Macaca fascicularis: one gene and its partner. The protein of the gene in region 2 interacts with the protein of the main gene of each other region in a pairwise test. Links are inferred from orthologs where the notes say so. Each region holds a gene or a part of one and is shown on either strand. Other genes may lie near its edges. The genes, in order: BMERB1 and RAPGEF4.

Evidence for each region.
Region 1: the proteins of RAPGEF4 (region 2) and BMERB1 interact in binary tests that used the Homo sapiens proteins (3 or more experiments, as listed by UniProt). The link is inferred for Macaca fascicularis from reciprocal best matches to the Homo sapiens genes RAPGEF4 and BMERB1.

The regions. Positions count from the first base shown.
Region 1 is NC_088394.1:15,810,132-15,813,950, reverse strand, and holds part of BMERB1 (bMERB domain-containing protein 1), read right to left. Parts: intron 2,720-3,819; coding exon 2,596-2,719; intron 1-2,595.
Region 2 is NC_088386.1:68,548,106-68,551,924, forward strand, and holds part of RAPGEF4 (rap guanine nucleotide exchange factor 4), read left to right. Parts: intron 1-925; coding exon 926-1,014; intron 1,015-1,751; coding exon 1,752-1,782; intron 1,783-2,003; coding exon 2,004-2,082; intron 2,083-3,237; coding exon 3,238-3,384; intron 3,385-3,819.

The DNA of each region.
Region 1 (3,819 bases), on a different chromosome or scaffold from region 2:
ACACATTCACACACACATCCACACATCCACACACGCACGCATCCACACCCACACACACATTCACACACGCACACACATATCCCCACACACACGTCCACAAACACGCATGCACACATCCACACACCCACACATCCACACACACACATGCACACACATATCCTCACACACACACGCGCACAGATCCACACCCACACCCACACACACACATACACACATCCAGACACCCACACACAAACATCCACACACACATCCACACATCCACACAAATATCCACACACACATCCACACATGCACATCCACCCACCCACACACACACGTGCACACAGTAAAGGTCAGTAAATGTACAGGGGTAACCATTGTTCCTGCAGCAGCACCATTAGGTAAATAAAAATAAATACATATTTTAAAAATTTTTAATTCCTATTTGTATTTTTAAATTTTTTGTATTTTTGTATTTTTTTTTAAACAAAGGGATCTTGAGTACTTAAAAGCAAGACTCATGTTCTCTGTCTTCCTTTTACTTTATTTTATTATTATTATTTTGAGATAGTTTCTCACTCTGTTGCCCAGGCTGCAGTGAAGTAGTACAATCTCAGCTTGCTGTAGCCTCCGCCTCCCAGTTTCAAACGATTCTTGTGCCTCAGCCTCCCAAGTAGCTGGGATTATAGGCGCACGCCACCACACGTGGCTAAATTTTTTGTATTTTCACTAGAGATGGGGTTTTGCCCTGTTGGCCAGGCTGGTCTCGAACTCCTGGCCTCAAGTGGTCTACCTGCCTCAGCCTCTCAAAGTGCTAGGATTATAGATGTAAGCCACCACACCTGGCCTCTGTCTTCCTTTTAAAACACAGGGAGGAAGGGATTGTTTCTGAATGCTCACGTATCATTTTTATTTCCAGACAAAAGGGAAGATACTTCTTAGCCATAAAGTGCAAATGTTCTAGAACCTTCCTCAGAGATGTCTCTGAGAAGGAATTATGCATGGGAAGCATTTAGCTCAGGGTCGGGCACATGCAAAGGGCTGGATAAATGACAGCTGTGAATATTGCAATTCATTTTATGCAGGGAGAGGGAAGGTCATATAATGTCCTAGTGAGAGGATGGGCTTTCAGAAGTTCGAGGCTGTAATGAGCTACGATGGCCTCACTGCATTCCACCCTGGGCGACAGACCAAGAGCCTCTCTCTAAATAAGTAACTAAAAATTTATAAAGAATACGTGTTTTAAAGGCAGAAAGAGCTGGGTCTGAACCCTAACTCCCCATTTACTAGCTGGGAGGCCTTGAGCAGGTTGTTTGATTTCTTCAAGCCTCAGTCTCCTCATCTGCAAAATGGGATGATCACAGACTCAGCCTCTTGGTGCTGTGAAAAATCAGTGAAAGAATAGGGGCGGGGCTTAATGCCTGCCTAGAAGGTTTGATGTTCCTGCTGCCTCCAGTGGAGCGTGGGTGGGGTGCTGACAGGCAGCACAGGGAATTTTCCAGCCAGGTTGCCTCTTAACCTCTGGTTTGGTTTGGTTTTGCTTGTAACCTCTCACTGTTTGTCTGCAAAAGCCCAATTTTTTCATTTTAATTTGATGGATTTTTATATTTTTTGTATTTTTAAATTTTTTCTTTTAGTGACAGGGTCTTGCTGTGTCTCCCAGGTTGGAGTGCAATGGTATGATCATAGCTCACTGCAGCCTTGAGCCCCTGGGCTCAACCGATCCCCCCACCTCGGCCTCCTGAGTAGCTGGGACAAAGGCACACACAACCACACGCCAGCCACACACAGCTAATTTTATTTTTTATAGAGACAGGGTCTGGCTACATTGCCCTGTCTGGTCTTGAACTCCTGGGCTCAAGCGATCATCCCGCCTCAGCCTTCCAAGGTGCTGTGATTACAGGTGTGAGCCACTGTGCCTGGCCTTAATTTGTACTTTTTAGAGACAGGGTCTCCCTCTGTCACCCAAACTGGAGTGTGGTGATGCAATCATAGCTCACTGCAGCCTTGAACTCCAGGACTCAAACAGTCCTCCCACCTCAGCCTCCTGAGCAGCTGGGACCACAGGTGCGCACCACCACACACTCAGAGCCCACTTTTTAAATGAGTTTGTCTTGAAAGACTATCTGCAACTCTTCAGGAATGCCCTACTCTGTAGCTAATGAACGCTCAACCCACATGACTTTGATGTTGCTAGAGACCCCATCTTGTTATTTTCCCCCATTTTAGAAATGAGGGAACTGAAATTCAGAGAGTACAAGTAACCTGCCCAAGCTGACAGGCTTAAAAAAAAGAAAAAAAACAAAACTCAGGCCTGAGAGCAGAGTGTGTGCTCGTCAAAGACCCCAGCATAGGGTCTGTCTTCCCCGTGGGTGATGGAGCAAAGGTTTTGGAGTCAGATTGGCCTGAATTCAGTTCCAACTTCAGGGTCTTGCTTAAAACAGGAGATGACAATAGCCACTTCCCTGGGTGGTGGCGAGAATCAAATGAGGCTTTTAAAAACGTGCATAATGCCTTTATCTCAGGGCTCGGCACACAGTAGGCAATCAATAAAGATTAGGTTTTCCTCTCTCCTCCACACTCGTCTTTCCTCGGCCACATCCCCAAAACACTCACATGAACCTGAGCTCAGACTCCCGGCGGACCAAGACTTCCCGGAGACGCTGAATTTTTGCCATCTCCAGCTCAATCTCCTCCGGCATCATGGTTGTCTCCGCCATGGAGATGATGTCCAGCTGATCTGTGCAGGAGACACGAAACGCAAGCATCAGGACCCCGAGGCTGCACCGTGGGACCCACCCTGACATGGTTTCAGGGCACAGCCTTGCTCCGCGACTGTCATACGCCTTGAGGGCACACAGACTTCAGCCTGTGCCGCAAATGTGTATTCGTGAGCACGCCCTTTGGAAACCAGAAAACGTGTTTTCCACAGGAACTTCGTTTGTTTGCTTTTTTGTTTTGAGACGGAGGCTCGCTCTGTCGCCCAGGCTGGAGTGCAGTGGAGCAATCTCAGCTCACTGCAAGCTCCGCCTCCTGAATTCACACCATTCTCCTGCCTCAGCCTCCCGAGTAGCTGGGACTACAGGCCCATCTTGGTAATTTTTTAATTTTTACTTTTTGTAGAGATGGGGTGTCACACTCTGTTGCCCAGGCTGGTCTGAAACTCCTGGCCTCAGGCGATCCCCCCAACTTGGCCTCCTGAAGTGCTGGGATTACAAGCGTGAACATACATACATATACATATATATATGTATATATGTGAATATATATGGTTGTATATATATAATATGTATACTATACACAGACACACTTTATTTTTTTCTTTTTGAAACGGAGTCTCACCCTGTCGCCCAGGCTGGAGTACAGTGGCACAATCTTGACTCAGTGCAACCTTCACCTCCCAGGTTCGAGTGATTCTCCTACCTCAGCCTCCTGAGTAGCCGGGATAACAGGTGTGTACCACCACACCCGGCTAATTTTTGTATTTTTAGTTGAGATGGGGTTTCATCATGTTGGCCAGGCTGATCTCTTAACTCCTGGCCTTGTGATCCGCCCACCTCAGCCTCCCAAAGTGCTAGGATTACAGGCATGAGCCATCGCGCCTGGCCAGACACACTTTTTTAAAGTCTGAAAAAGTACACTAAAATGTTAGCAGTTAAAATGTTAATACATATGCATGTGAATATATATACTATTATGTACATATACATATATCCACTGTGATACAGGTCTTATTTTTCTAATATAAAGTTAGGGTCTCACTATTTCATTACGTGTTCTTTTCACCTAGCAGCATGCCATGAGCGCTCCTGCCTGTCCTTGGATGGTCTTCCTCGGCAG
Region 2 (3,819 bases):
AGAAACATACACCCTCTCTCCTTTCTATTCATATCATTTCACAGCCAGAGGGGCAAGGCAGGGAGGGAAAATGGACCGTGAGCATCCCTCCAAGCTGAGGAATGAAGTATTTTGAAAATGTGAGGAATGGCGGTAGCTTGGGGTCATACATTGACTCATGGCCTCTACTCATTGAGTACAGGACCATTTTGCAGATGAACTAAAGTGGTGGTGAAGCTGGCACTGCCATGGTTCTCACCTTCTGCTGCAGAGCAGAGTTCTGCTCCTAAGCAGAGCAGGCACACCTGCAGCTGCAGGGTCAGGACAGCTCCCAGAAGGGCAGCAGAGAGTCCTGAGTTGGTGGCACAAACTCAGCATAAATTCGCTACAGTGCTGAAGACCATGCAGCATCTTACCACCAACCATAACCACGGATGAGTAGCACCTAGCAAATAAACAATACATGCCAAAATAATGTGAGAATGAACACTGAAGTTCCTCTGAAAAAAAAAGAAGTAAAAAAAGTGCTCTTTTGTGGACTCCAAAATGACCCATTTCAAAACACTGGCTTTCATATAAATATCATACAAATAATTCACCTGCAATTTATTTTGAATTGAAGTTTTATTGTTGTAAAATAGATATCTAATATAAATTTTCCCATTGTAACCATTTTTAAGGGTATAGTTCAGTGGCGTTCATTTCATTTCTGATGCCCGTGCAGTCATTGATTGCCACTATCTATTTCTAAGACTTCTTCTCATGGCCAATTTTGAACTTAGACATGGTGTAACATTTTCTTCTTTGTTCTTCCTCCAGTCCATGAAGCCATGGTCTGGAGATGCTGGTGAAGCAGATGACATAGGGACACACCTTTATTGCTCTTGACAGAATCATGTGCCTTTTGCAGTTCTTGTTAAAAGCCTGTGACTTTTGCCAATTACAGGAGTTTTATGTATCTGTATCAGATGACGCCCGGATGATTGCTGCCCTCAAGGAGCAACTGCCGGAGTTGGAGAAGATTGTCAAGCAAATGTAAGGAGGGGCTTGGCTTTGGGGGTGTGCTTTCATCAAGTAAGTCCCAAAACATCCTTTGCCCACAGGAAAAGTTAAAGCTGGTCTTTCCATAGCCATGCCCTGCTTGATTTGATTTAAGCAGACTGGACCAAGGGCATAGGTGGTGCAGTAAGGCCAGAGGAACAGAAGGACTGAGATTCTGTTCATTCTGTGCTAGAAGGCTGCCAAAAGAAAGCCTGGGAAAGAAAAGATCCTCCTGTGTGGAGTCCAACTCAATAAATGTGGGTCCCTTAGGTTCAAGGCAGTGAATCTGGCAATAACGTGGCCAGCGGCATTTAAAGAAAGTTTGAGGGCAATTACTTATATGGAAAATTCACTGTCTGCTGCCAAAGCTGTTGATGGTGAATATTTGTGTCCTCTCAATGAACCACAAGGTCTTCACATGCTATTACTTGAGCTATAGATTAAATGCAGTATCAGAGAGTGAGTGTGCTGCTAGATAAGACTTTGAAAGCTAGAAATCCTGGCTTTGAACATCGGTTCTGCCAGGAATCTGCCTCTGACAAGAGCTGATATCTTTGCTGTCTACCCTTCTGCTTTGATCTATTACTATTAAAATGAGGAAGTTCATATTGCCTCCTGAAAGGATTCTGTGATTGTGATTTCATTTTCTAACATAAGATTAGTTATATGCAAATAAGGCAATTTAATAGTAGCAATGGTATTAAATAATGTGCTTTCTCTACTTCTCGTAGCTCAGAAGATGCAAAGGCACCACAAAAGAAGGTAAATGGCATGAACTTGAACTCTCTGTCTGTGCCCTGTAGAATTACAATTCCCCAGAAATATTATATTGCAGTATACATAAAAGTGATTTCTTTTTTGTAGACACAAAATATATTGTCTTAATTTCTTGACTCTGCTTGCTTCTCAGATGTGTCTCCTCTGAGTTGCTAGTGTGCATTGGTCACTCTCCCTTATGGCACTTGCTGTGGTTGTTTTTACAGCACAAGGTTCTTTTGCAACAGTTCAATACAGGTGATGAGAGAGCCCAGAAGCGCCAGCCTATCCGTGGCTCTGATGAAGGTGAGAACCCTCTTTCAACTAACTCATAGTTGTATAGATTATTTAGAGTCAGGATAATGGTAAGCATCACCTTGGACCCACAGAATAACTTCTTTTGGAGGTGCCCTGTTGCCCTCCAGATGGTTTGCTTGGAGGTGCCTTTTGGTGGCCTGATGATTTATGTCCTTAAACTCTTCTTGTGCCTGGAGCCGAGGTGCCTGTCTACCCTTCCCTGATTCAGCCTCTCCCTGCTTAACCCCTTTCCTGGGAAGAAATGAAGATGATCTCAGGGTCTGGTTGTCAGGATTGCCCACCCCTGGGAAAAGCTGGTGGGAAGGTAGCCGGCGCCTAGTGGGTGCCTAGGAGACAGTGGATCACCAGCATCCTGCCCAGGGACAATGCTCTGGCCCTGAGCACAGCCCTGAGCATGGAGGCTTTACATCAGGAAGATAAAGATGCTGGCTTTTGTTTGGTTGTTTAAGATTCTCCAAAGAATCACAACCAAAAATAGTCACAAATAATAATGATAAAAATTTCATTTAAAGCTATAAATGAATCTCGTCATTTAGGACTGCCTCTAAACCCAAGAATTACAATACAATAATGGGAATTGCTCCCAGGATTTTTGTGTTCAGAGCTGAGACTCGGGGTGCCATATCCACATCTGCTGATCTAAGTCTGCTGAGCTAAATAGCATCCAAGCTTACGTGGCCTGGCCCCAAAGCACACAAGCCACTGAAGCAAGTGAACAGGAGTATCAGCATGTGCTGATGGCCCAGGCGGAAGCCCTCCTGTGTGCAGAGGTGTGAATGGTGGCTCCCCACCACCACACAGGGTAGCAGTGATCTGTAAATTGCCTACAGTGTAGTACTTCAGACCCTGAACATCAGCCTGAAGACACTCTCCATTTTTTCCCATGACCTATTTGTGGGGTTTCACCAATATCTCTTGTTCTTTTAATTGGACTTGGCAACCATATGTGCACCTATTCTTAGACCAATGCTAAAGTAAGCAGTTTAGAAGGGGCAGGCATGGGGTAAATGAGTATGAATAAATATAGTAATAAAAATGGCAAAATGATGCAAATTGGAGAGGATGCCTAAACATTTTTCATAACTACAGTTTTATTGAAAACTCTTAAGACTGATTTACTACCTTGTTACTGCCTTTGCATAGTTCTGTTTAAGGTCTATTGCATGGACCACACCTACACAACCATTCGGGTGCCAGTGGCCGCCTCGGTGAAGGAAGTCATCAGCGCCGTTGCCGACAAGCTGGGCTCTGGGGAGGGCCTGATCATAGTCAAGATGAGTTCTGGAGGAGGTAACAGCCTTAATTCGCATTTTGGGCTCTGCAAAACAGGACTTTCCATCCAAGCAGAAACTATGTAAGAAGTTAGTGTGGTCATGTGAGGCTCACCCGGAGGATGAACTGGTGCTTATGTATGCTTCCACTAATAACAGAAACAGTATGGGTAGAGGCAGGCTGGGTTTCTAATGTGCCCTATCTTGTAGGTACCCACTCTAAACCAGAAAGGTGACTGGAACTGAGGACTCTTGTGTAGATGCTGGCCTGGAGTTCTTTCAGTTTAAACTCTATTCAAAAAAGTTTTAGGCCTTGGAGCCCTGAGAAATATGGACCCTAAGAGGAAATCTAGCTGGACAAGCTCAAGGCCATGGGTTTCTAGAAGTCCAAAGTTGGAAGTGGTCAGAAGCTAGTTCTTTGAAACTGATGATGGTTTTTCTCCTTACTCAGTAG